Nothobranchius furzeri: one gene and its partners. The protein of the gene in region 3 interacts with the protein of the main gene of each other region in a biochemical or structural test. Links are inferred from orthologs where the notes say so. Each region holds a gene or a part of one and is shown on either strand. Other genes may lie near its edges. The genes, in order: macroh2a1, casp7, parp1, cebpa, chfr, casp3a and hmga1a.

Region 1 (4,267 bases), on a different chromosome or scaffold from region 3:
TGGTCTTCATAGATTTGCACATGTTTAAAGATCTATGTAAGGTTTATAGATTTGCGCAGGGTTCATAGATCTAGATATGTTTATAAGTCTGTGATGGGTTTATAGATTTTTTTCTGTGTTTACAGATCTAAGTGGGGTTTATAGATCTGTGCAGAGTTTATAGATATGTGAGATGACAGTAAAACTGACCTTTTGACCCAGGAAGAGGCTTTTTGTGGAGAGCACGGTGAAGCTGTCAGCCGGAGATCCCTCTGTGGTGCTGTCTGCTGACGCCGCCTTGCTCACCTCGCCCGGTTTCTGTTAAAGACGTAAACATTTGTGACTTTGTTATTCTCTCTGTGGCATCACTGATATGCAAAAAGACTAAAAAGGTAAAAAAAAACTATCTATAAAGAAACCTCAAACATATCAGGCTTTTTGCTGAGAGACACACCTTAGTCTTCCCTCCTGCCCTTTTCCCACTCAGCTTCTTAGCTGCCGTCTTCTTGACCGTCTTGGGTTTCTTCTCTGGAGCAGGTGACACGGGAATGTCCAGTTTGCCCCTTGCTCCTCTCTTCTTGGCCAGTAGCTCTGGATGGATGTTCGGAAGTACTCCACCAGCAGCAATGGTCACACCTTTGAGCAACTGACAGGAAAACAAAATGTGACATATGATATCTTACGGCACCAGTGAATAAATCTTATGTCTCTCTTTTAGTGCATTTGAAATTGGTCACCTGGTTCAGCTCCTCATCATTGGCGATGGCCAGCAGGATGTGTCGCGGCGTCACGCGACCCTTTTTATTGTCTCTCGCTGCATTACCTGCCAACTCCAGGATCTCAGCTAAAGATAGAATGACATAAACAAAATGAACACCTATTGCCAGGTCAAAACAAAAATTTGATATATATAAACATATTAAATTGAAAATAAAGTTCACCAGTGAGGTACTCCAGGACAGCGGCCAGGTAGACAGGTGCTCCCACTCCTATGCGATATTTGGGCAACCCTCTCTTGATGTAACGCAGCATGCGTCCAACAGGAAAGATGACGCCGGCCTTAGTGGACCGTGACGTCTTAGTCGACTTCTTCTTGCCTCCTCGGCTGGACATGATGCTAAAACTGTAACCAGTGGCGGGCTCTGCAGAGGAAACCAATGAAACATGTGAACAATGATTACTTGTACTTTATGGTAACATGGTGCATGTAAAGAAAATTAATAAAATATTCATTAGACTTAAGTGAACATTGCCTTAGAACGCAACTCTAAATGATCAAAGATTCTCTTTTAAGAGTAAAACTGAATTATTTTGTTCATTTATCCTTTTCCTGGTTTTAAATCAGAAGAATAATGTATGACTACTTATCAATAAAGACTGTATGTGGCCACTAAATGCTGCCTGTTTCGAAAAAAATGAGAAGCTGCCTTGATTAACATGACTGAGACAAAGGGGGTGTGTGTTGGCAAGAATCTGGTGATATGATACATATCACAATACAAGGGAACAATATGATATATGGCAATACTAAAAGCTAGGCAGTATTTGAGATTTTTAGGACTGAATTTGTTTAAACACTTGTAAAATCTCATTACTTCGTCATAATAAGAGGTGGAAAAAGATGCTGCCCCCTAGCAATCGGAGTATAAATTGCACCAAACAAAAGAAATACAGAAAATATTTGCCAGTAAATTCACTAAAATGTCATTTGATACACTGCTTCAATTACGTATCATTAACACAAAACACTGCAGTGTTTTGATGTTTTCTTACATCCACAATAGATAAATATTATTCCAGTGATGTTAGGTAATGGTCACTAATCCACTGAAGGGTTTGGTTGATGTCACCTCGTGCAAAAAAATAAATAAATGAAATCTATGTCATTGTCATGCTCTGATGCCCTGTGGGAACTTATGCTAGATGGCATTTTCATCCCTGGAACGGTCGTTTTTAAACGTGCATAATTAAAAACGTTTGGATATCTGCATGAAAACAAACTCAAAGTCATGAAATATAAACAAAACGGTGGAGGAGATCAATATTGCAGCGCCAGATCGGTTAGTCACTGGCAATCGGTTATCCGACACCACAGGCCACGCTTTTCCCGTTCTCTTTTTTATTCTGCTCCAACACAAACACCACCTCATTACCATTACACGTGACGTTAACCCGCGGCAGCTACCGTGTTCTAAACCCAAAGACCGCTAACGCAATCCATTTGACTTGAAACATCTGCGGCATTTCTCCATCCAGCCAGGTGTAGGTAGGTTCATCAGCGCGGAGGGCATTTCCCTGTCCGCTGCTGCCCGCTGACATCCATTTCCGCATGTCAACAGCAGCCGAACGTCTCGCGCGCATCTTTCGTTTCAACCAAAGTGTAAAACGACCGAATTGCAGCTGTCCGGCGACACGGGGGGTGTTTTCCCGTACAGGTCAGCGAGCTTTCGGATGGAAATTACCCCGGTGGATCGGCGGCAGCTGCCCGCTCCTCCTCCCCTCCCCTCCCCTCTTCTTCACCGCCTGTCAGTTCCAGAAACACGGTCTCCGCTCTCGGGCCTCCCATGGCAGTAAGGGACAAAACGGTAACGTTAACAGCTCCATTCGGTGCACGAGTACATGCTCCACCGACGAGAGGCGACACTTGGTAGACACGGAGCGGGGGTACTTACAAACAAGCGGCGGCAGAGGGAATAATTCTCCCGTTCACCCGGTAACAAGCCTGGGTAGTGTCCCCGATTCCCACAATCCACAGCGAGCTGGTAGAACGGCGCGAGCCAGGCTGCCCGCGGAGCTCGACCGACCGCTGTGATGATCTTTAACCTTTTACGCATGTGTTTCTAAACACCTGATTAAACAGGAAACACGTCCTCTTTACGCGGAAATAGCTTTTATTTTTTTTATTTCAGCTTCTAAACAAACTTAAGATACATTTAAGTAACCTTTGCCCTCGTGACATGCTCCTGAATGAACCCTAATTAACACACTTGTTTTTATTTAATCACACTAGTTTTTATTTAATCAATGTTAGATTAGCCTTACAGTGCTGCCACAAAACTAGCTCAAACATGTTCCTTTAATGCTAGTGTGTCGGAACATTACATGATGGTCAAGTGTTTTTCCTTTACTGACTAGTCAGCAACGTTCAAGGGGAGTTCAAAGCCTTTTGAAATCCAAATGACTGATTGGATTAATTATTTTTCATTTGGGGAAGAACTGTGTCATCAATGACTGACTTTTAAAAATAAACGATACGATATCTTCACTTTTATGATTTTCTTCATATTCTGTGGACTCCACTAACTCAGCTGACAACACTACATTTTTACACACCATAAAATAAACTAAACAACTGTGAAATCCTTTATTCTTCAAATTTCTACAGACGATTGAGTAATGACAGCATCTTGCCACTAGAGGTCACACCTAAGCTTTTTCTTTGTAGAAATATCATAGACTGTACATAGAAATATTCGCAAAATCAAGAAAATCTGTGTATTGAAATAAATTGATCGTATTAGTTGATCATATAAATCAGCAAGAGGCTTGTGTATAATAATTTAAAATTAAAATGTACTTTCCTGATGATAGTATTGATATTTTTACCTCACTCCAGACCATACATAGCCTAGTGAACTATGGACCAAGTTCTTGCTTTGCAAAGTTTGTAAATAATACATTTATTCAGCCTGGCTTGCCAGGCTAGACCATACACACACTTTTTAGGATGATGTACATTTTGTGTTTTCTTTCCATACTTCCATTGATTTAAAATACAATCATGCAAATAAAACGTTTATTATATTTCCGTTAAATCAAAGCAGTAATTGAAAAATATTTAATGCAAAATTTTATTCTTTTCTTGCATTTGAGATGTGTGAATGAAATTCCAACCAGTTGACAAATAATTCACAGCACTGCCTTATGCCTTATCAGTCTGAATGTTTAAACTCTGACAACAGGGAGTGAAGGTCTGATGAAACATAACAATAGCTAACTTCATTTCTGTCATCATATAGAGGCTCACATTTCATATCACTTGTGCAGCACACCAATAGATTTTAAGTTTATTCTGAAAATGCAAAATCTGACATGAGAGGCAACCATCGAGGGCAACATGCTCTTTGAATCAGATCCTTGCAACAGTTTTCAAACTTGCATGAGTATAGGATGTATTGTTAAATAATTTACATTGATAATGGATCACATGGTGCAGCAGCACACAGGCTTGAAGTTAAGTTCTGATCCTTCAGGGAGTGTCTTCTGATAATTAATGGCATAAATGGAA
Region 2 (3,500 bases), on a different chromosome or scaffold from region 3:
AGGAAGACAAAAATAAACAAGAAAAGGTAAAATGGGATCATGAGAAAGACAGAATTGGTAGAAACAGCAGAATGAAAAGAAGGTAGTGATGAAGAATCAACAGAAGGTCATGCAAAAGCCAGCCTGAACAGATGAGCTTGCAGATGAGGAGACCGTGGCGGGTGTATTACGGTAGTTTGCCAGCATGGCGTGTCTTCTAAGAAGGGCTTATCACAGTTCAACCAGACCTGGTGTAGCTTAGAGAAAATATTCTTTTTAAACATTCACCAACCAAATATGAGTTCACCAACCAAATATGATCGTTTTGTTTTAACAGTCTTAAAAGTCCAATCATATAACAGTCATATATGATGATCCTTTAACTTTGTTTTTTTTATTGGAAAAGCTCCCTAAATATTTCACTAGAGCACAACAAATTAAAACTTTGAAATAAATATTGGCAGAAAAAATGTACTCTATTGACGTTTCTTAATATGTTATGCTTTTGATGAGCATATTATTGACTTGAATAACAAAACGAGATTATGTTTGATGATTGAGTAGAATGAGTTTAGTGATTGGGTCCTTTTAGAGAGGTTGGATGTGTCTGAGATAAGCTGAGAGTTAAGTTGTATGTGTCTTTCAGCTTCAGAGGAAGACCACAGCGACAGTTCGTGTTTTGCCTGCATACTGCTGAGCCATGGTGAGGAGGGCATGATCTATGGCACAGATGGCGCCATGCCCATCAAGGCCATGACCTCGCTGTTCAGAGGAGACATGTGCAAAAGCTTAGTTGGGAAGCCCAAACTCTTCTTCATCCAGGTATCAACCTTAAAAGTCTTGATTTAAAATAATTATGTGGCCAAAAAGTTAAAGGTTCAATATGTAAGAATTCTCCAGTGAAATAATCACTAAACAGTCTAATGTCTCATGTTGGAAGGAAGGCTACATAGAAACAGATTAACTTCTCAGCTGGCTGGGGGGTTGTTAGTTTTTCTCCTTTCAATTAAAATAAAGAGGGACGTAGTTACGGATGAAAATCAGCGAATTTGTGAGCTTGGTGAGTCTACACCGAGCTATTGCTGCAGCACCAGTTTTTGTAATTCTATTGTGTCACGCAAAAGGCTCCAGAGTTGTTTAAAGAACCGAAGCCAGTGAACAGGAGCGTAGCCCTGAGAAGCCACAGCATCTTTTTTAACTCTTAATATCAAGTGAAGAAGGCTAGAGGCTAACGTTGAGCTAACAATACTAACAGTGATTTAGAAGCAAATAGTCACCTCTAAAAGTATCTCATGCTACTTTTTCAATTACCAACAAATCAATATTACAGTGAAATGTGTGAATGAATGAATGTTTATTTATATAGCGTTTTACACAACCCAGAGGGTGACCAAAGGGCTTAACATTAAATATGGAAAGAAATTAAAAATAAGACAATAAAACAATTAAAAACCACTGTAAAAAGGTAAATAATCAGAGCCTGTTTAAAACAATGCAGGACAAATTTAAAAGTAATAAAAAATAAAAACAAGGAGGAGTACTCAAGCTCCTCGTTGAACCGTCACCTTATCGTGGTGGAGGAGTTTGAGTGCGCTAATGATCCTAGGAGCTATGTTGTCTGGGGCACTTTGTGCCCCTGGTAGGGTCTCCCATGACAAATTGGTCTCAGGTGAAGGGTGAGACAAAGAACGGTTCAGAGGCTCTTTCATGGATGAACTATCAAGGAGTTGGAGTACCCGGCCTGGAGTGTTACCGGGGTCCCACCCTGGAGCCAGGCCTGGGGTTGAGGCCCGTGAGCGAGCACCTGGTGGCCGGGCTTTCGCCCATGGGGCCCGGCCGGGCCCAGCCCGAACTGGAAACATGGGCTCATCCAACTGTGGACCCACCACCTGCAGGAGGAACATGAAGGGTCCGGTGCAATGTGGATCGGGTGGCAGACCGAGGCGGGAGCCTTGGCGGTCCGATCCCCGGATAAGGAAACTGGTTTTTGGGACATGGAACGTCACCTCGCTGGCGGGGAAGGAGCAGGAGCTTGTGGCAGAGGTTGAGCTGTACCGGCTAGATATAGTCGGACTCACCTCGACACATAGCATTGGCTCTGGAACCCAAGTCCTTGAGAGGGGTTGGACACTCTACTTCGCTGGAGTTACTCCGGGTGAGAGGCGGAGGGCTGGGGTTGGCTTTTTGTTAGCCCTAAGACTCTCTGCCTGTGTGTTGGGGTTCATCCTGGGGATGAGAGGGTAGCTTCCCTGCGCCTTCGGGTCGGGGAACGGGTCCTGACTGTTGTTTGTGCTTGTGGGCTAAATATCAGTTCAGAGTACCCACCCATTTTGGAGTCCCTGGGACAAGTGCCAGATAGTGCTCCATCAGGGGACTCCATTGTCCTGCTGGGGGACTTCAATGCTCACGTGGGCAATGACAGCATGACCTGGAGGGGTGTGATTGGGAGGAACGGCCTGCCTGATCTGAACTCGAGTGGTGTTTCATTATTGGACTTCTGTGCAAGCCGCAGTTTGGTCATAACGAACACCATGTTCGAACATAAGGATGCCCATCGGTACACTTGGTACCTGGGCAGCCTAGGTCGCAGGTCGATGATAGACTTTGTAGTTGTATCATCTGACCTGCGGCCGTATGTTTTGGACACCCGAGTGAAGAGAGGAGCGGAGCTGTCAACTGATCACCACCTGGTGGTGAGTTGGATCAGATGGCAGGGGAAGATGCCGCGTAGACCTGGCAGACCCAAACGCATAGTGAGGGTCTGCTGGGAACGCCTGGCAGAAGAAGCTGTCAAGACGGTCTTCAACTCCCACCTCCGGCAGAGCTTTGACCACGTCCCGAGAGCAGTGGGGGACATTGACACAGAGTGGGCCTTGTTCCACTCTGCGATTGTTGAGGCGGCTGTAGCTAGCTGTGGTCGCAAGGTGGCCGGTGACAGTCGTGGTGGCAACCCCCATACCCGCTGGTGGACACCAGAGGTTCGGGGAGCCGTCAGGCTGAAGAAGGAGGCCTACAGGACATGGCTGGTCTGTGGGTCTCCGGAGGCAGCAGACAGGTATTGGATAGCCAAGCGGGGTGCAGCAGTGGCAGTTGCAGAGGCTAAATCTCTGGCGTGGGAGGAGTTTGGTGAGGCCATGGAGAAAGACTGTCGATCGGCTCCAAAGAGGTTCGGGCAAACTGTCTGGCGCCTCAGGAGAGGGAGGCAGCAACTCGCTCACACTGTTTACAGTGGGGATGGGGAGCTGCTGACGTCAACTGGGGCTATAGTCGGACGGTGGAAGAAATACTTTGAGGAGCTCCTCAATCCCACCTACGCGCATTCTGAGGAGGAACCAGAGCCTGGAGACCTGGGTATGGACTGTCCAATCTCAGGGGCAGAAGTTGAAGTTGCTGAGGTAGTCAAACAACTACACAGCGGTGGAGCACCGGGGGCGGATGAGATTCGTCCTGGGTATCTCAAGGCTATGGATGTTGTAGGGCTGTTGTGGTTGACACATCTCTGCAACATTGCGTGGTCATCG
Region 3 (3,500 bases):
CAGCAAAACTCGGGTCGGGTTTCTCTGACCTGAAGGAGCCGATTCTGGTCCTTGCTTCGTCGGTCCGCCGGACGCACTTGGCAGAGGCTCGGTTTTAGCAGCTGTCAGGGTTTGGGCCGGCGCCTCTCTGGGGTAGGCCCTGTCCTGTCGCTTGAACTTGAATTTCTTTAGGAAAGGGACTTCATGGAATTCCTGAAACAGGATTGAATGAGATTTCAATGAAAAAAGAGAAGAATGAAAAAGCAGATAAAGACCTTTGTACCATTTCCTGACCCATCAGCACCATTTGTGCCAATTTAGCATCGTTCCAGATGGCAACCTGCAGCTTTTTTATTTTTACCATTTCTTGTCTCCAACACTTCCGGCTTACACCTACTAGTAGTTTAAGACATTATTAACTGGAAAAAAAAAAAAAACGTAACTCATTCACTGCCATTGACGACTGAAGTTGTCATTTGCATGTTTTTACTGTGTGGGCATCGGAACGAGCCCCCGCACCGTGAGAACAAACATCTCAGCTCTAAAGCCGATCTTCATCCGCATGCGTCACGTGATCAGGAAGCAGAACACCCACTGACTACATTTACATGCAGCCAGTATCCGGGTTATGATCGGGTTAAGGTCGGTATTCGGGTTTCTGAGTTGATCAGAATAACCCGTTTACAAGCATAAATAGAAAGAGTTACCCCTAACTTGCATAACCCGATTTAAATGCGGACGTTGGGGTAGCGTCAGGACGTATGGACTACGTCCAGACGCAATATGCCTCATTTCCGGTTCTTCTTGTTCCGGTATCCGTGAAAACAACAACATGTTTCCCAGTTCGGAAGAGATAGCGACCGCGTTTGTTTGCGCTTTAGTTTCCTCGTCACTCCAAAAGTGTGGTGCTGTGCCGCGACTCGCCATGTTGCTCCCAACTTGTTGTTTACTTCCGGTGTTCTGGCGCATACAAGACGTCTCGCTACTCAAAAGACCAAGATTCCTTGCGAACAGAGCATGCGCAGAACACACGCTTTGATGGGGATATCCCGGTATGCGTTTACACGACCAAACATTCGGGTTAGAAAAGGGTTACCCCAGGTGTTTTTAACAACCCGGTTATGAGCATATCCGGGTTTTTGGCGGTGTTTACATGGACCTGCGGAACCGGGTTTTTGTGAATATTCGGGTTTTAAAAGGGTTACTGGCTGCATGTAAACGCACTGCATGTGTTAGATCGTTTTGGGCCGCTGCTGTAAAAAAAGGTGAGGTGCGAACCGGAAAAGCTTCTGCCGATCACAATTCAACAACAGATTATGAAAGAACGGATAACGCTCGAAACACGCAGATTCTTCCTGATGTAAGAGGCGAGTCTCCGCTTTGTTTTGGTTGTTTTGGTGTTGACGTCATCTTAGCGCTCAACGTTCTGTGACTCTTAAAAAAAAAACTGTAAGAATGGCGAGAAACGCTGGCAGCGAATGAGTTAAGAGACGAAGCGACCCACCTTGGGAGTGACCCAGTCTCTGCGTGCCGGTCTTCTGGTTTTAAACACACACTTGGTCCAGGCTGAAATGTCCCCTGTGCAGTAGTAAGCGTCTTCTTTAAACACCAGCTGACTGCAACACTCCTTGCAGACCTCCAGAGCACCAAAGGCCATGCCGTCAGCCAGGCAGTCGACCACCTGAGAGGACAACAAAAACACAACACGTAAGACTCCAGATGACTCGAGCAACAACGAATCTCCCGGGTGAAACTGAGCTCAATATTATAGAGCTATATGACCTCTGAGACAAAGAATCACCCCAAAAAAACCCAGATTAACACCAGTGGAGCTTCTCTTACGTTGGACTCTCCAGAGGGGACGTCCTGAGCGTTTGCGATCAGCAGCTCCTTCATGTCGTTGATCGAACAATGTTTCTTCAGCTTGTCTTTGATCCCCCAAATCAGCTGGCTTTGGTTCTGCAGATGAATGAAGAGGAACATTAAGCTTATGGAGAAACTTCACTCCAAAATGTCAAATCAATTCAAAACAAAGTACTTTCAGTTGCTCCTCCAGTTTATTCTTCTCCTCCTCTTCCTCTTTCTTTAGTTTTTTTGATGCTCCATCAACATCATCACCTTTGCGTTTCCTGAGGGAATACAAACTTCAGTTAACTTTGTTGTTTTGTGGCTCGACAAGGACGAACAAGAAAAACAAAAGCAAAACATTCACTTCCTAAATGAGTCGCAAAGGGACAGCGGCCATGATGAGGAACAAACAAGCCTGAATCTGACACCTTTATTCATTAAACCACGTCCCCCGGGTCCCATCAGTGGTCGGACAAACACAAACACAGGCCGGCACACGCTTGGACGGTCCCAGACGCCACTGATGGGACTCTCTCCCTCCTCCCGAGACCATTAACTCAAAGTTAATGATGGTCCAGAAACAGTCGGTGTGAAGACAAACTCCCCGATCTGAGGGGACATGAATAAATCAGCCACCTCCTGATGTGTGGTCTGCATGTGGACAGCTGCTGTTGGGACAACACGGATATGATCTCACGCTCTTAACGTTTAAAGGTGAGGGATGAAACCGCTGCTTTACATCATGTTCCATTAATTCAGCTTTACTTGATTCTTATTCTCCTTTAGGAAAACCATGGAGGGCGCCGCCGTGTCGGGGAGCTCCCATCAATATTCCTCCTCCTCAATGAACTTTACCTCCCCCTCCTCCTCTCCATCACCTCCACCTGCAGACATGTCCCCCAACCGGCCGTACGTGGCGGCTGAGCTCATCATCGCTCTTTTATCCACCGTCGGTAATTTACTCGTCTGCGCCGCTGTGGCTCTAAACCGCCGCCTACGCACCGTTACCAACTACTACCTGGTGTCGCTCGCGGTGGCGGACATCTGCGTGGGTGCCGTCGCCATCCCCTGCGCCATCCTGACCGACGCCGGTCTGCCGCGTCACAACTTCTACCTGTGCCTGCTCATGCTGAGCGTTTTGATCATGTTCACACAGAGCTCCATCTTCAGCCTGCTGGCCGTGGCCGTGGAGCGCTACGTCGCCATCTTCATGCCCTTCCGTTACTGCGTCCTGATGACGCCTCGCAACGCCGTCCTGGTGATCTTCGCCACGTGGCTGCTGGCCTTCCTCATCGGCCTCGTGCCCCTGATGGGCTGGCACAAAACGCCGCCCGATTCCGGCAACTGTGTCTTCGTCCTGGTGGTGGACATGACCTACATGGTGTATTTCAACTTCTTTGCATGCGTGCTCACGCCGCTGCTCGCCATGTTCCTAATCTATGCTCGGATCTTCATTGCGGTCAAGCAGCAGATGCGACGCATCGGGCCAGAGCAGGGCGGCCGAGGGGCGGCGCGTCAAACCAGAGCCGCAGCTAGCATGCGCCGGGAGATAAAGATGGTGACGTCTCTCTTCCTCATTCTGTTTCTCTTCACGGTCTGCTGGATCCCGCTTCATGTCATCAACTGCTTCCTGCTGCTCTGCCCTCGCTGCTCCGTGCCGCTGGAGCTGCTGC
Region 4 (3,931 bases), on a different chromosome or scaffold from region 3:
GAAGCTGAATGATGCTGGAACTGGACCAGTTCTGGTTTCACCAGCTCTTTATGCCTGTACAAAAACAAACAACCATGATCAGATTGGATCTTCTCAGGTTTTAGGTACTTAAAAGATTTCATATGGTTTTTTATTGGACCATGTTCCTGGATTAACCAGACCCAGAGATTCTGTCTCAGTGGGGGATTCCTCACATCTCAATACATCTCCTGAGGAGTGCGTCAGATGTTCACGTTCAGGTTCAGATAAAGCTATAGGACCAGTTCAGATTCTGCAGAGCCTAAAGATTGATCCCAGGAACCCATATCACAAATGTTCAGAGATAGTTCTGATGGGTTCTGTGGTTCTATGATTGTGATGTGTTTATAGTAAGACAAGTCTTTATATGTGTCTCGGATGTCAGTGAGACAGAGACACATGTCCTCTCAGGGAGACAATCAGATGGGGACTATGTGGTTAAAATATCACTCTTTATTTACAACGAAATAATAGACTTATTACAACTATTTGGGCTAATTTCTAATTTTACATGTTGTACTAAAATGATACTCATTAAAACAAACACACTATCTTTATGACGAGGAAATGGCATTTTAACCGACCCTTATTTATGCTAACAGGAGTTATGCTAATGTAGCCAACAGCGTTACCATGGAGACCACCAGCTATGCTAGCAGAACAGAGCTAACAGCATCTCTGTCATGAACACAGGATCCAGCGGTTGTTTTTGAAGGAGAAAAGGTCCTTCAAAGGTCTCCAAGATGGTGCGAGATGTTCTGGATCTCTGCTCGGTTCTATACGGTCTGAAACGAACCAGAACCAACATCAGACCAGACGGTGTCTGTCTGCGTCCGACAGAGGGCGCTGCATCCCGCATTTTACACGCACACACACACGCGCGCGCGCGCGCGCGCGTGTGTGTGTGTGTTTGTGTGTGTGTGAACGCGCGCACATACACAGAGGTATGGCAGGCATTTACTTACGCGCATAAAAACATGCGTGCGCACACACAGGACTCTTTTGTGAAACAAACAAAAGTTTTATTCTAATTTAATTCTGGTTAATTTACCTTTTTTTAAGTAAACGAAACATCAGTCAAGCGTTTTGGTTCCGATGGGGTGGTGCAGTTCGGGAGACGATCCGCATCAGGTGATCAGAACCTTTAGTCTAGGAGCGAGACCCAAACTCCTTAAACAACACTTGGGATCATGATCGGTTCCGAGAACCTGCAGGGTTCTGTTGTCCCACCCGGGTCCCGGAGGGGTTCGAGTCAGACAGACTGAAGGAGTGTGGTGTTGTCCCCGCCCACCCATTCCAACTATAAAACCGCTGTTTGACAGCTCGGAGGTTACTGAGGACCAGGAATCGGACCGGCAGCTTCTCTTCGTTCCAACACAAAGTGTCAGTCAGTCCTAAAGACTCTGGTTCCGGTCGGCTCCTGTCCGCAGCGGTCCGACTCACCTGAGTGTGTGACTTTCCAAACTGGATTTCCGGAGCTCCTCGCCATGCCCGCCCGGCTTTAGGTTCTCCATGGAGCTCTCGAACCTGTACGAGGTCGCGCCCCGGCCCCTGCTGAGCAGTCTGCCCCACGGCCAGCAGCCCCCCTCCGGCTATAGAGACCCGTCTGACCTCGGGGGGGAGATCGGAGACAACGAGACCTCCATAGACCTGAGCGCCTACATCGATCCGTCTGCCTTCAACGACGACTTCCTGGCGGACCTGTTCCACCACAACTCGCGACAGGACAAAGTCAAGATGATGAATGGAGAGTATGACTGCGGTCCGGGTCCACAGCAGCTCTACATGCCTAACTACATGGAGTCCAAGCTGGAGCCGTTCTACGAGCACAACCCGCCGCGCCTCCGACCGGTGGCCATAAAGCAGGAGCCCCGGGATGACGAGGACCTGAACCCGGGCATGCCCCCTTCCTACCACCACCCGCACGCGCATCCTCAGCAGTACCAGCAGCAGCAGCAGCCGCAGATGCCGCACCTGCAGTACCAGATTGCGCACTGCGCGCAGACCACCATGCACCTCCAGCCGGGCCACCCGACGCCTCCACCGACTCCAGTGCCGAGCCCGCACCATCACCACACGCACCAGCACCTGCAGCAGGGCGGCATGAAGCTGCTCGAGCAGCGGGGAGGCGGGAAATCTAAGAAACACGTGGATAAGAGCAGTCCGGAGTACCGGCTGAGGCGCGAGCGCAACAACGTGGCTGTGCGTAAGTCTCGGGACAAGGCCAAGATGCGGAACCTGGAGACCCAGCAGAAGGTGGTGGAGCTGACGACCGACAACGAGCGGCTCAGGCGGAGGGTGGAGCACCTGACCCGGGAGCTGGACACGTTACGGGGCATTTTCAGACAGCTGCCGGACGGGTCGTTCAAACCCATGGGCAGCTGAGAGATCTGAATCGGACTGGACCGGAGAGTGCTGGATTTGTTTAGAGACAGAAGCAGCTGAGTTCTCAAAACAGCTGCACATATGCAGAACTTTTGGGTCAAGGAGCAGAAAACTTAACAGACCCGGTTCGGTTCCGGATGATTTTAATCTTCAGAGCAGCAGAACGGAACTCTTCCATCAACAAACTGAACCCGTTGGAGACTTTTAACTTGTTTGTTTGTTTATTTGTTTGTCGTGTTCTCGTGCCTTTAACGTTTGTGCAAAAGCCGATAAGCTGAATCAGATGTTCAGTGCCTTAAACAGACTGAGTCCAGAACCACTCAGAACATTTCAGTGCAGCTACGATGAGGTTAGTGCGGGACCAGCCTGCGTGCACGACGCCTTCATTACAGAATTTTATTTAATCACAAACGATCTCATGTACGGAACCAAACCGGACCGAAACCTGTTTCTGAGCTGTTTGCTTGGCTGAACTGTGTTTTGCAGGTGATTGGCTGTTGACACCACGTGGTATCAAACTCACCTTCACACTTGCCAGAGATAAACTGTCTGGGGAGTTTGGGTCAGAGCCAGAACCCATGTTTAATAAAACTAGTTCTGAATGACCCTAGCAAAGCCAGGCTGAGGGTTGTTCGGTACTGAAACCGTTACAAACAGAACCGCCAAAGCCCTGCAAGCCCAACCCTGACCCTGTTCAGACTGAAGCTCTCATGCACTAAAGCCAGATACATTGTGGGACATGGGGAGGCAGTGATGGTACTGATCATGGGGAGGGGGTGTACTGATACAGGTTCTGGACAGAACCCAACAGAACTACGCCCCTCTAAACATGTTTTATTGTGATCAGAACAGCTAAATGTGAACCAGGTTTCAGCATCACTCTTCATCTTCCTGCTTGTTGCAGTCATCTTCACTCAGTGCCTTTTGATCGCTCAGATGACCTTTGACCTTTGTCCGATCCCTCAGATGGTTCTCTGACTTGTTCCAGGGAGGAAGAAAGAAGCACTTTGTTGTTTATTTCTGTAATATAAACATAAAATATAAATGAAAAACCAAAATCTGAAGTAATAAAGAAACTTGTTTTATCAAATTTGGTTCTGGTGTTCTTCTGAGAGTGTTCGGCTCTATGTGCACACACACACACACACACACACACACACACACACACACACACACACACACACACACACACACACACACACACACACACACACACACACACACTAAGTCAAAGATATTCATTTTTACTCTAAAACCAGCTGCTTAATGAGGCGTCAGACAGCTGATCTACTGGTTCCAGCTTCTGTTTCCTGTGTATTTAAATGATTATTATTCCCTCAGTTTGTGCTTTAAGGTTCTGTTTGTGTCATGACTCTGCTGCAGGCGACCTGCCATCATGTCGTAAAATCGGAACTCCCTCAGATGTTCCGAAGGAACTTCAATAATCCCTCAGGAAGGTTCCTCTGGAAAATTCAGCTTCCAGCAGCGGCACACAGAAAAGTTTCAACAACAAGACGAACAAAGGAGC
Region 5 (4,098 bases), on a different chromosome or scaffold from region 3:
TTTTTACATTTCTTACCGTTGCTGTAGAGTCAGAAGTTCAGCTCTGACAGGAAAACCTGTGAACTGAAATGTTGTGTCTCAGCCATAGTTACAGACTCCTGCAGGGATCTTTGTAGTTATTGGATGAATGCTTTGGTCTGGAGTGCTGAATAAACTATTTAAACTACTGACATCTAATAGAGTGTTTTTGTTGTTCTTTGTACTGAAGCTTGCAATAAAGAGAAACCCAAGAATGACATGCGGTCAAAAGTATAAAAAAGGTGACCACGAGGAAAAAATACAGATTATTTGTGATAAAGTGTTGTTTCATGTCCTGTTGGTGGATTCATGCTAAGGAGTTTTCACTGGTTAAAGATTGAGTCAATTATGTAGGAGGATAATGTGAGCCTTATTTTGAGGTCAAAGGTCATAAAAGTGAAGTCCAAAATGCTTTGTTACTGTTCATTCATCAACCATGAACTACTACCTGAACCAACATGTCATTAATTGGGGTAGAGACATTCCTAGACGAGGGTATTGTGATTTATTTTATTTGTAATACTAAAAAATAGGGCCACATAAATAATCCAATGTAAAAGTGTTTGTTTACATCAACAGCCTACAGGATAAGCAAAACCATTATCCGTGCTTAGGAGGGGCCAAAATAAAATCAGTCTGAGGACCGCAGATGGCCCACGGACCACACATTGGACATATCCGACCTGGAAGGTAAGATTCAAGTAGGCTTCATGAGGTGTTATTATGGACAAAAAGAAGAAAAAATGTATAAAAGAATGCAGAGGGGAAAAAATCTATAGTGCTCCTGAATCTGTCTATTTATTCTGTTTTTATTATTTTAATAAGTATGTATGTAGTAACTAAATTGTATTTATGTAGCACTTATTACATCACAAAGTGCTTCACATAGATCAAAACAAAATAAAACATAATGATCTCAGAACAAACAGATTAACGTCAGAAAAAATAAAGTCATAAAATTGTATTTTATATAATAATATATTTTATAATAATAATAATAATAATAATAATAATAATAATAATAATAAATTATTATTATCATTATTATTGTTGTTGTTGTTGTTGCTGCTGCTGCTGTTATTATACCCATATTCTGGTATAAAAGAGAAGGGGTATAATTACTTTTGACATTTAAAGTAAATAATCATTTTATTAACTTTACCATTTCTGTCATGATGTGGCCTTTAAAACTTAGTGTCTTAAATGAATATCAGAGTTTTTTGTTTTTGCTTTTGTTTTGACACAAACCGTTGGTGAACATTTCCGAGCAGGCAGCTCTCGGGGCCCCTCCTCTGATGGGGCCAGCTCAGAGCTTTGCAGGAAGTGCTTCGCTCTATGCTAGCTAGAACATGAGAAGGAGACGCTGTTTAATCCGAAACACCTGGGAGAACACACCGCGGGTTTGATGGTAAAGTAACAGACGGGTTTACAAATGAAACCGTACATATAGTTAGTCTGAGTGAGGGTCTTTCGCTGGGTTTCTCTCGTCGATGCTAATGCTAGCAGTGTCGTTAGCCCAGTGTTGTTAGGAACAAAGTTCAGTGTTGGGCTGTTGTGTTGCATCATGGAAAGTTTTGAAGCTTTGATATTTGTCAAGAGAACAGACTACACGTCTTCCCAGCTTGTCCCGGAGATCAAATCAAGTTTTAGTTAAAAACATTTATCAAAAATCTCAGAGCTGAGTTTAGTCGGCGCTTGTTATGGTTGTAACTCTTTATTTACTTTGCCATTGTGTATATGGTTGTTGGGCTTGTATTTATTTACAGTACTAGTTTTTCTTTTTGACTGTCAAAATTATGAGCTTCTGTCAACTTATCCCGTAGGAACAGAGTTACATCAGCCTGTAATTTAAAACTAGATGCAAACTGGCTTCTGAGAGTGGGTTAACGCCTAAATAGACAATAGCTGTAGTACAAATATTTATATGCTGTGTATAATTTAGGCTCAATGGCTATATACAGATTTATATCCTTGTTGCCTCTCTAATATCACTTTCTCTTTACTTCCACAGCCCATATCAGTTTTAGGAAATAACCAGATTTTTATGTCTCCTGACTTGTTTTCTGATTTAAAATTTTTAATTTTATTTCAGGAAAAACATCGAGCCATGGACACTCACAGAGGAGGACGACCCTGGGGGAAACTAGTCAAAGTTGATTCCAATGAAACTGTTCTGCTTTTCAATAAGGAATGCACAGTTGGCAGAAAAAAAGGTTAGTCTTTTACCCTGTGATCCACCATGCTTTCTTTGCCATAAATCTAATGTTGACAAAAATGTCTTTTTACCCTGGTGTCCAAACTCCAGAAGTGGAAAATCTTTATAAATGAAAGGCAGTCCTGTGGTGTAGACGTTTCTGCCAGTCAGTGTCTGGAGCCTTTACAACCTCCCCCTTAAAAACACAAACCCTTTTTTAGTGCAGCAAACTTAGACAGACCCTTGTGACGGGAACAAAAGGCGTCTATTGACAACATGTGTGAAGAATATTAAGTAGAGCTTTTTTGTACGGGTTTGCTTTAGAAGAGGTTAGGGCCATATATCCCCCTGTGTCTGCTTTGTTGTCGAGAGCTTTGGGGAATCAACGTTTTTTTATAATGCAAAGCCACCAGACTTGGCATTACTTAATCAGTTAGCTTATGTCTGGCTAATGAATGATTTAAAGCTGTCATGGCAACTCGGGCTTAGAGATGAGGTTGAAGATTTTACATTACACCATTGTGTCGGACAATTTAGCTCTTTCTTTGTTTTAAAGGAGAGGAAAGCTAAACATGATGCTATATTTGAAAGCAGAAAACATTTGTTTATGGTAGATTTGTTTGCATTTGTCGTTTCTCTTCTGTTTTAGGGTGTCATCTGTCATTTCCAGCCAACAAACTGGTCTCAGGGGAGCACTGCAAAATAGTAAAGAATGAAAGCTCAGGGCTGGTGTGGCTTGAAGACATGAGGTACAGTAAAGCTGTGCACCTTTTTAAATGTGCACACTGGTGTTTTACTGAAACACTGATCTGTTTTGTCTGTAGCACTAATGGAACTGTGATCAACATGTCCAAACTGGTTAAAAAGCAAAGTCACATGCTGCAAAACGGTGATGTCATCTACTTTGTGTACAGGAAGAGTGAGCCAGAACAAAGTGAGTCACCCAGTTTGTGAGCAGCAAGAATCATATCTTTGTTTAAATGAGTTTCAATAGAAAAGACACACTTTCCTGTTCCACTGCAGACATTGCCTATGTTTACCATTCTATCAAAATGGATCAAGACGTTATGAGCTTACCACAACTTTCCAGTTATGGTAAGTTGGAAGTCACCTGTGCAACCAGAAGTATTGCATCTTTTTGTTTTTGTGCCACTTAAGTAACTTTTCCGTCTCGTATGTTTGAATGTGAGGTCTGGAGGGTTCAGCTCGGTGTTTGTCACCTGTCCCAACGTCAGAGATGTCCCTCTCTGTGGAGCCTGTGATGCTCTCTAAGGCTCCTCGGGATACAGCTCAGGAAGAAGCTCAGCCTTCTACTTCTGCTTCTCTCTTCTGTATTAACAGCCCCCCCTCTTCATCTCCCATGGCAACAGCAGCCTTTTCATCTTCTGGTAAGGGAGACTGCAGTTTGTTTTTTCTGCACCGCATCCTGTTAAAAACGGAAAAATTCCTGTTTACACTTCTTTGGACTCACCTATCGTGACTCACAACAGAAGGTTGTTGTTGGTTTAGCATCCAGGAAACGGTAGACAACATCTTGACTAGTAGAAGCTAACCGTTAGCATTAGCAACTCCACAACACAGCAGAACTCCTTCAAACTCGAGTCATTTGTGGAAATAAAAACTCAACGTTGCAGAGCAATCAGAGGCATGGTGACCAAATATCAGGAAATAAGAGCTCAAACTGCAGTCTGAAGCTCAGCTCTGATCTGGCTCACTTCTAGTTCCTGAAACGGGTGCATCTGAGCTCCCGCCCCACACAGAGTACAACTTACAAGGCATTCATTCCTACTAGAGACCACTGCAAATGTATTAAAGTCATGAGTGAAGGACCTGTTTAATATTTTGATAAATTATGATGCTGTTAATAAATTCTTCAGGTGACTCCT
Region 6 (3,500 bases), on a different chromosome or scaffold from region 3:
TTTAGCACTGAAACTGCTTTAAAAAACAACCTTTTTAAGGTTGTGTACAAATAACAAAACAGGCTGCTGTGATGCAAAAAGGTGAATTCCTTTAGAACTAGTCCACAGAGTGAGAAACTAATAATGCCAAGCCAGGCAGATGAAACTAAGATGTTGCATCACTTTTTGATCCCAAGAAATTTGATTTTTTTTTTTCCCCCATCACAGCTTAGAAGAAATACATCTCTTTGGTCAGCATTGACACAACGCAAGGGATTTGCTTCTTTGCATGAAAGCCTGGTGAATAGGAGACAGACTCGAACTCCACCGCCACCTTGTGGTTGACACGCGTCATGATGTGCTGCAGCTCCAGCTGTTTCCCATACATGCTGATCATTTCACACAGTGACTGGATAAACCAGGAGCCGGTCGTCGTGTTCCTCCAGGAGTAGTAACCTGCACATGAACGACACATTAGGGATTAAACCAAGACGGTAAAATAATTATTATACAAAAAAATCCGTGGTAAGGGTTTAACCTGGAGCTGTGGAGTAGGCATACAGGAAGTCTGCTTCCACAGGGATCTTAGTGGTTCCTCCTGGACTGTCTGACTCAATACCTTCATCCAGATCGGTGCCTCTGCATGCCTACACCGTTCAAATGTTTTTAGGGGTTAGATACTTAGCAAATAAAGATGGTGTGGACAGATGAAAAAAATATATCGTACCTGAATAAAGAAAAGTTTTGGTTTTCCCACCAGAGTTTTACAACAATCGCCTCGAAAAATAGACGTTAAGTGCTTTAGCTCTACGGAGTCATCCGTGCCGAAAAACACGCCTTCATCTCCATGACTCAGGAGGACGCAGACAAAGGAGGCTGATTTGCTGTGATCTTCCTTAGACACTAAAAAAGACAAAGAAAAATTTTGGAACTATGCATGAACTTCACACTTCAAAGATGGTGTCTCACTTTTGGAAGATGCAAATATGTGTTGGAATGATGGGACTGGTGCATCGTGGTTACCTGCAGTCAGAACCTGAACTATCTGACCGACTGTCTGATCGTTGTAGACCTTCACTTTATATCCCAGCTTAGAAAACACTTTGGATGCGTTGGCTGCATCCACGTCAGTGCCATTCCGCTGATTCATGCCTAACACACACACACACACACACACACACACACACACACACACACACACACACACACACACACACACACACACACACACACACACACACACACACACACAGAGGGATTAATGCAGGTGTCATGAGTTAAGAAATGACGAGTTACCGTTGTTTTGGGGAGGTTTTTAAAATGATAAAGTCGTCTCACACATCACATGACCCCAAAGTACAAGGGTAGGCTAAAAAGTACAATAAATAAATCTAAATTCTAGCAGGTGTCACTAGCTAAATTTGTGACCTGATAAACCACATAAACATGAAAACAAAAAGTTTGACTCTTATTCATCCTAAACTGCAGTCTAGTTTAAAACAAGCAGCACAAAAACAGCACTAGCCACTGCTAACATGTACCTTTCCTCAGTACTTCCAATTAAACATTGCTCTTTGAATGGTGTACACTCTCAGTCCTGCTGGACTGGTTTTCCAAACCCAGACAGGACAACACGAGGATCACATGTAACTTCGTGGAAGCAGAAGATGCATTTGCACGCATGGATATTTGAGCTCCTCTTAGACAAATACACAAGGATCTGACAGATCAGCTTATTTAGTACAACGAGAAAAGAAATATCTCAATCTAAAGTCGACACAAAGCCTAATTAGGCAGTATGTCCCAAAGCTGGGATCGGGACCCCACTGTAGGTCACCAAGAACCACTCAAAAGGGTCTTGAGATGATTCCCAGAAATCAAAACAAAACTGATAATCACTGAAAGAATAACTGTTATAAAAACTCAGTTAAACCATCATAAATGGATATGAGTGAACATTCTTTAGCTAGCTTTTAAGATGCTTGTTTTGTCAAATCGGAAACATCTGGGCCCATGTGTCTGCGTGTTGATAACGGATATTTTGTGGGTCTGGATCTGAAAAGTTTGGGAAAGCATCAAAAGATGATGTGTCAACATCACAAAATTATTATGAACACCTAAATAAATCTATGAAAGCGTCATGAAACCATCTAATTTTTGTACATTCTTGATTATCTAAAGGAAAACTACAAGATCATTTAAAACACACAGTGCAATCATGAGTTTGAACACATTCACTGTAAATCTTAGCCTATAGGAAACCAGCTTATATGTAAATAGTCGGGCAACAACCCATAGACAAAGCTTAGTTGTGGGGCAAAACCTATGGATGCCTTTCAAACTGTCAGCGCACACAAATGGACAGCGCTAGGACCAATCAGAGCAACACACAACATGACATACTCATCGCTGTGGATCTCAGTCAATGGGGCAGCCCGCCATACACCGCCAAACCAGAAGTAAACACGTCCTCTTTCTAAACAAACGACTTAAGCACCGCTCTATGCTCATGTCTTAAAGAAAAGCCCAAGTCTAAATCATTCAAAGTTGATGCCAAAGCTGTTTGAAATGAGCGCCGTTCCTGAGCTGATGCCATCTTTGTAGTTTTTCACCGTCACAGCTCTGGTGCGAAGCCTGCCCAATATCTCTCTACAAACATAGAACGCTGTGACTGGCCTGATCTAAAATGGTTTGAGCCAGTGGTAGACCTGCTAGGCTGCATGGGAGTGTGGTTAGACTGTCCCGCAGAGCAGAATGTTCTGCTGCTGCTACGGTTTGTCTAGATTTCTAGGCTATGTAAATCTGTCAGCATAAGGAACAAACAACCACTGGCTTTAAGGCGTAGGTCTCATCAAGCTAGTCACATGGATGCTACAACTTCCTGATAAACCACAGTAAACACCCCAAACCACACCCCCTTCACGTGGTCACACACACACAAGTTCGCTGTGTGTGTGTGTGTGTGTGTTCGTGCGGCAGCTACCAATACACACCTCTAATATAAAAGATGGATGCTTTATCTCATTATTACTGCCTACATGTAGATGGAGCATTTAATTAATTATTACAGTTTCCACAACGACACGTCCACCCTGAGTCTTTCAGCTAGCTCTGATGTCTTTTAAGTACACATGACTGACCTGCTGTAACGCCGAGCACAGGGTGTCACCATCAGAACCTGATCACCTGGACGTTTTTGGCCCAAGTCCAGCAAAACACAAAGGAGAAGGTAGAGACAGACAAAAAAAGGGGCTCTGCTTCCTTAAAACGACTTGTGATGACACAAGTGATATTTAAGATGTTGAAGAGCTTTAAGGTTTATCTGCTTCACTGTAAAATAATGTAGATTTAAACGCATTAAAGCAACTTATGGCATGACTGATCCACAAAGGAAAGTCAAATCTGAGACTAGTTATGACCCGGTAAGGACAGCCAGAAATAAAAAACAGGCAAATAAAAAGAAATGTTGGGGCAAAAATAATCATTTTGTGTTTGAAATGTTAAAATCAAATTAGAACAAG
Region 7 (3,935 bases), on a different chromosome or scaffold from region 3:
TTGAGAAAATCAGCGATGCTTCATAGGGAGTTTACGATTTAATTTCATTCAAACTAAACTTCGGCTAGTAGATTAAAATTAGCTCCACATTTACTGTTTCTCTTAGGGTTTCATACAAAATGAATACACAAATATGTTTTAAAGATTAGCATAATTAAAAAAAAGAAAGGAAAATCAACATAAAGAAAAAAAACTCCTCAATATAATTAAGATTCAAATATAATTCTGAAATAGCTGCTCAAAAATGTCATTTGAATTTTAAATGAAACATAATTGTTTTTTCTTTAATGCACAACAAATAAAAGAAAATTAGATTAAAATTAGCTCCACATGCATTGTTTCCGTTTGGGTTTTGTACAAAATAATATTATTAATATATTTAAATAATATGTATAAATTAAATTACTTTTTAGTCTCGTTATTTAAACATGAGCAAAGGGATTGTTTACATTGGGGGACGTCATCATAGTTCAAGCGCCATGACAGTGGAGGCTATGACACAATGTAGGTTAATTTTATTTTATGAAAAAAGTGGATTGTAAGCAATTTAGTCATTTCGTAAAACCCCTTAGATGCTAAAACAATGACGATTTACCAACTACTTTCACCCATGTCAAGAAAGTGATTCATAAAAATGGAGATTTGTAAGACGTTAGCTCTTATCATTCTATAATCCTTTATTAGACAAATTAACTCACTTTGCTTTCCCCCCAATACTTAGTTATTTGTTTGAATGTATAATTTTGGAGATTATTATACAACTATGATAAATTTATTATATGTATAATATAAAACTTTTGGATATTAATTTGGGACTCTTTCAGAATGAATGTAAACAATGGGAGAAATGTCTTGTTTACATTATAATAACGATATTTTAGAAGCCATTCACAAGCTGTCCGGTAAACATACAGTAAGCAATAATTTTATATAACAACTTAAAGAAATACGTACTGTGACCTTCGACGAGTTGAAAGTAACTAGATAAGTGACGAGATTAAACGTAAACTTCCACAGGTAGCGCGTCTCGACTTGTAAACACCCTGTGACGCAATAATCGGCCTGCGCAGGCGCTGCGCATTTCCCCAAAGTATAATATTTCGACGGGGGGCACGGATAGTCGGAACACCGGCGGTGCTGAGTGGAGGTTGGGCTGTTCTGGTTCTGTTGGTGGCCCTCGTTATCATATCCCCGCCCTCCAGTGTTCCCGCTCTCCTGAGGGCGGTTCTTTAAATTGTCCAAAAACTCCTCCTGTCCGACTCCGGCGCCTTTCATTCCTTTATCTGCGCGAGACGCACGTGCTCTACCGAGGGAAACCTTTGGATTAAACTTCTCACCGTGCTGGTAAAAATAAATATGTTTCATGTACAAAAATGCAGAAAGTTCAGCTTTTCGCTTATTTAAATGGGTTTGTGTGTGTTTTTAAGGCGCGTGAGCTGGGCTTTTTAAATGGGCGGGCTGTCTGACGAATAAAAGCTGTAGCCTATAGATCAGCTTTTTAACCGGGTACGCACCAGCCGGGCTTCAAACGGAAACAAGTCTACCTGAGTTTAGCACGGAGGCGATAGCACCGTGACAAAGGTGAGTGGGGATGCGACCACCGGTTTTACAAACAGCCCGGAGCTCCGGCGGGAAACGGCGGCACGTTGTCAGCCGTCTTTTGTTGCTTCGGTCCGGGCTCGCTCCGCTACACGGAGACCTCGGTTGCTGCTCTCCCCTCCGCCACTTAATTTTTAAAAAGCCATTCAGCTCAAAGCTTGTTGCCTGCAACCAGAAACGAGCCGCGGCCATTGTGGTGTGTGAGTGTCGGTGGATCTCTCCGCGGCCCAGGCGTGCAGACACGCTGCTCTGAGATGGTTCCGTGCGCAGGCCTGGTCTTTGGGCTCCTGCGGGGCCTATAAGCGCGGTCGGTACCGGAGGGAATTGGCTGGTTTTGTGGTCTTTTGCAGGTTAAGCCTGCTGTGATCGGTTTTCTGCGTAAACCTCTTGTGTCGCAGAGCGCAGACGAGACGGAAATAGACCTGGAAACCAGCGCGGATTAATTGGGTTAAACCGTGCGTGGTGCGGTCGGTCATCTTTGGTTTGTTGTTGCGGTCAGTGGGTTTAGTGGCTCACGGGTACACGCTGTGCTCAGTTTTCTGTGTGAACTCGACGCCTCTTGCAGCATCAAGGCCGGCCGGTAGGGTTTATTTAAATCATCATTATCATCATCATCCATTCAGGTTGGAAGAGCAAATATGAGCGACAAGGGGACAGTCTCACCGAAAGAGAAGGAGGCGGCAGAGAAGAGAGGGCGTGGAAGACCCCGCAAATCGCTCGAGGTGAAAACCTCTGACGTAAGTAGTGTCTATTTATTCTGGTATACTAGCTGATTTTCTACCACCCCGTCGTTTTATTATTATTATTATTATTTTTTATTTTTATTTTTGCATGCCATGGGAATAAACTTGATCTTAAATGCATGCAGAACCAGGCCGGTGTGGTGCTGAGCCTCAGGTCCTCTTGTGATCGCTGAGGCTCAGTTAGACGCACATGCAGGTTTGTGCATATCAGAGTCTTGAGACCAGAATAAAATAGCCCAGACTGCAGGAGCATGGCCTTGTGGCCATTTGCCCCCTGCTTTTCCACTGCTGAGGTGTACAGCAAATTCCCAGCATGTCTCACCAGTTTGTAAGCAACCAGTAACCTAACACCTTTAAACTGGTTTTAACCTCCCCCTCATCCTCTTCTGCATTACATAGGAGAGTTGTGGCCCAGAGTGGATCACATAGATGTCACTTGGCCTGCTGTGTATTACTATTGAGTTGCTGGGTTGCTAAGAGCTGTGATGATCAACACATCAGACGAGCAACAGAAGACGAGTGGGCCATGACGCCGGTTTAAACCACGAGTTGTGCATGAATTTGCTGAACTTTCAGATGTTATGGCAGTCCCCTCTGATGTTTACGGTTCAGCCAGATTGCTCAGTCAGTTTTTGTTTTGATTTCAATTGTTTTGATGTGCACTAAAATTGAGCCTTTTTGGGCATCTATTAAAACATTCTTGATATTAACTATAACCTGTTTGATATCCAGGAGCCAAGTGGGTCACCAACTCCAAAGAGGCCCAGAGGGCGACCAAAGGGCAGCAAAAACAAGACTGCTGGCAAGGGCAAGGTAAGTCATTGCTCGTCTTGTTTGAAACTTATATTCCCGTAGTTTGCAACAGCTAACCTCATCCTCTGCTGTTGATATATGTTTATTGGCTGCAGTTCAAGGTGCCACAAATAGCCCGGCCATGACTCCCTATTGGGGGCGGCAAAGTGATTATCAATACCAATAAATCTTGGTTAACTGCTTTATTTGGGGGTGGAAGGGGGGGCCTGATATTTACCCTGTACTTCCTGTCCTCCAGCTTCCTGCAGCTTGTCATGCACTGTGTGGTGCAGGTGCAGAGGCCGCAAGACTGTTTCCAGGCTGACACTAAGCACCCCTCCGCCCCCAACCAGCACACAGCCCTACTTCTTCTCTCTGCCTGTCGTCTCCATAGCAACAACTGCTTTTTCTCCCTCTCCCCAACCCTTTAGCTCCCCTGTGTGTGCGCGCCATTTGCTGTTACGTATGGGAGATGGAGTGAATAAGGGAGTTTAGGAAGCACCGGTATAGGTTTAGAAGTGCGGGCCAAGCTGTAGGGTTTGTCTCCACTCGATTTCACCAGCTGTCTCTGAGCCTCGGACCAGGTGGCCAGCGAACTGGAGTGCCCCGTGTGCAGTTCCTGTCGGCCGTCCAGATAATAGCCAATGAACCCAGTGCCCCCTTTCGATCGGTCTTGTTGCAGAAGTACGGCTGCCATCTACAGGCTAATCTGCAAATGGACGACAGATCCCCAGCACGTCGCTGAGAATGAAAATCATCTCTAAACAGCAAGACCCTCTTAAAGCTATATTGACCTTTTTA

The links.
Region 1: the proteins of parp1 (region 3) and macroh2a1 form a complex in vitro, tested with the Homo sapiens proteins (2 studies listed by BioGRID). The link is inferred for Nothobranchius furzeri from reciprocal best matches to the Homo sapiens genes PARP1 and MACROH2A1.
Region 2: of the proteins of parp1 (region 3) and casp7, one has a biochemical effect on the other in vitro, tested with the Homo sapiens proteins (3 studies listed by BioGRID). The link is inferred for Nothobranchius furzeri from reciprocal best matches to the Homo sapiens genes PARP1 and CASP7.
Region 4: the proteins of parp1 (region 3) and cebpa form a complex in vitro, tested with the Homo sapiens proteins (2 studies listed by BioGRID, with this or other methods). The link is inferred for Nothobranchius furzeri from reciprocal best matches to the Homo sapiens genes PARP1 and CEBPA.
Region 5: of the proteins of parp1 (region 3) and chfr, one has a biochemical effect on the other in vitro, tested with the Homo sapiens proteins (2 studies listed by BioGRID). The link is inferred for Nothobranchius furzeri from reciprocal best matches to the Homo sapiens genes PARP1 and CHFR.
Region 6: of the proteins of parp1 (region 3) and casp3a, one has a biochemical effect on the other in vitro, tested with the Homo sapiens proteins (9 studies listed by BioGRID and IntAct). The link is inferred for Nothobranchius furzeri from reciprocal best matches to the Homo sapiens genes PARP1 and CASP3.
Region 7: the proteins of parp1 (region 3) and hmga1a form a complex in vitro, tested with the Homo sapiens proteins (2 studies listed by BioGRID, with this or other methods). The link is inferred for Nothobranchius furzeri from reciprocal best matches to the Homo sapiens genes PARP1 and HMGA1.

What each region holds. Positions count from the first base shown.
Region 1 is NC_091750.1:54,263,315-54,267,581, reverse strand, and holds the start of macroh2a1 (core histone macro-H2A.1), read right to left. Parts: upstream 2,801-4,267; 5' UTR 2,652-2,800; intron 1,122-2,651; 5' UTR 1,093-1,121; coding exon 921-1,092; intron 824-920; coding exon 717-823; intron 626-716; coding exon 434-625; intron 298-433; coding exon 190-297; intron 1-189. UniProt on the Homo sapiens protein: Variant histone H2A which replaces conventional H2A in a subset of nucleosomes where it represses transcription. Nucleosomes wrap and compact DNA into chromatin, limiting DNA accessibility to the cellular machineries which require DNA as a template.
Region 2 is NC_091756.1:38,344,439-38,347,938, reverse strand, and holds part of casp7 (caspase-7), read left to right. Parts: intron 1-625; coding exon 626-801; intron 802-3,500. UniProt on the Homo sapiens protein: Thiol protease involved in different programmed cell death processes, such as apoptosis, pyroptosis or granzyme-mediated programmed cell death, by proteolytically cleaving target proteins.
Region 3 is NC_091742.1:4,983,945-4,987,444, reverse strand, and holds part of parp1 (poly [ADP-ribose] polymerase 1), read right to left. Parts: coding exon of another isoform or gene 2,621-3,500; intron 2,109-2,620; coding exon 2,018-2,108; intron 1,939-2,017; coding exon 1,822-1,938; intron 1,661-1,821; coding exon 1,484-1,660; intron 193-1,483; coding exon 30-192; intron 1-29. Other genes in the region: adorb1a (adenosine A2c receptor), read left to right, coding at 2,621-3,500. UniProt on the Homo sapiens protein: Poly-ADP-ribosyltransferase that mediates poly-ADP-ribosylation of proteins and plays a key role in DNA repair.
Region 4 is NC_091749.1:66,139,277-66,143,207, forward strand, and holds cebpa (CCAAT/enhancer-binding protein alpha), read left to right. Parts: upstream 1-1,131; 5' UTR 1,132-1,530; coding exon 1,531-2,403; 3' UTR 2,404-3,493; downstream 3,494-3,931. UniProt on the Homo sapiens protein: Transcription factor that coordinates proliferation arrest and the differentiation of myeloid progenitors, adipocytes, hepatocytes, and cells of the lung and the placenta.
Region 5 is NC_091757.1:31,985,046-31,989,143, reverse strand, and holds the start of chfr (E3 ubiquitin-protein ligase CHFR), read left to right. Parts: upstream 1-1,298; 5' UTR 1,299-1,423; coding exon 1,424-1,426; intron 1,427-1,612; exon of another isoform or gene 1,613-1,718; coding exon of another isoform or gene 1,719-1,721; intron 1,722-2,110; coding exon 2,111-2,231; intron 2,232-2,861; coding exon 2,862-2,961; intron 2,962-3,036; coding exon 3,037-3,146; intron 3,147-3,235; coding exon 3,236-3,307; intron 3,308-3,402; coding exon 3,403-3,600; intron 3,601-4,098. UniProt on the Homo sapiens protein: E3 ubiquitin-protein ligase that functions in the antephase checkpoint by actively delaying passage into mitosis in response to microtubule poisons.
Region 6 is NC_091744.1:19,590,126-19,593,625, reverse strand, and holds part of casp3a (caspase-3a), read right to left. Parts: intron 1,132-3,500; coding exon 1,003-1,131; intron 883-1,002; coding exon 707-882; intron 627-706; coding exon 518-626; intron 436-517; coding exon 209-435; 3' UTR 1-208. UniProt on the Homo sapiens protein: Thiol protease that acts as a major effector caspase involved in the execution phase of apoptosis. Following cleavage and activation by initiator caspases (CASP8, CASP9 and/or CASP10), mediates execution of apoptosis by catalyzing cleavage of many proteins.
Region 7 is NC_091755.1:54,122,793-54,126,727, forward strand, and holds the start of hmga1a (high mobility group AT-hook 1a), read left to right. Parts: upstream 1-1,135; 5' UTR 1,136-1,344; intron 1,345-1,426; exon of another isoform or gene 1,427-1,581; intron 1,582-2,222; 5' UTR 2,223-2,237; coding exon 2,238-2,336; intron 2,337-3,074; coding exon 3,075-3,155; intron 3,156-3,935. UniProt on the Homo sapiens protein: HMG-I/Y bind preferentially to the minor groove of A+T rich regions in double-stranded DNA. It is suggested that these proteins could function in nucleosome phasing and in the 3'-end processing of mRNA transcripts.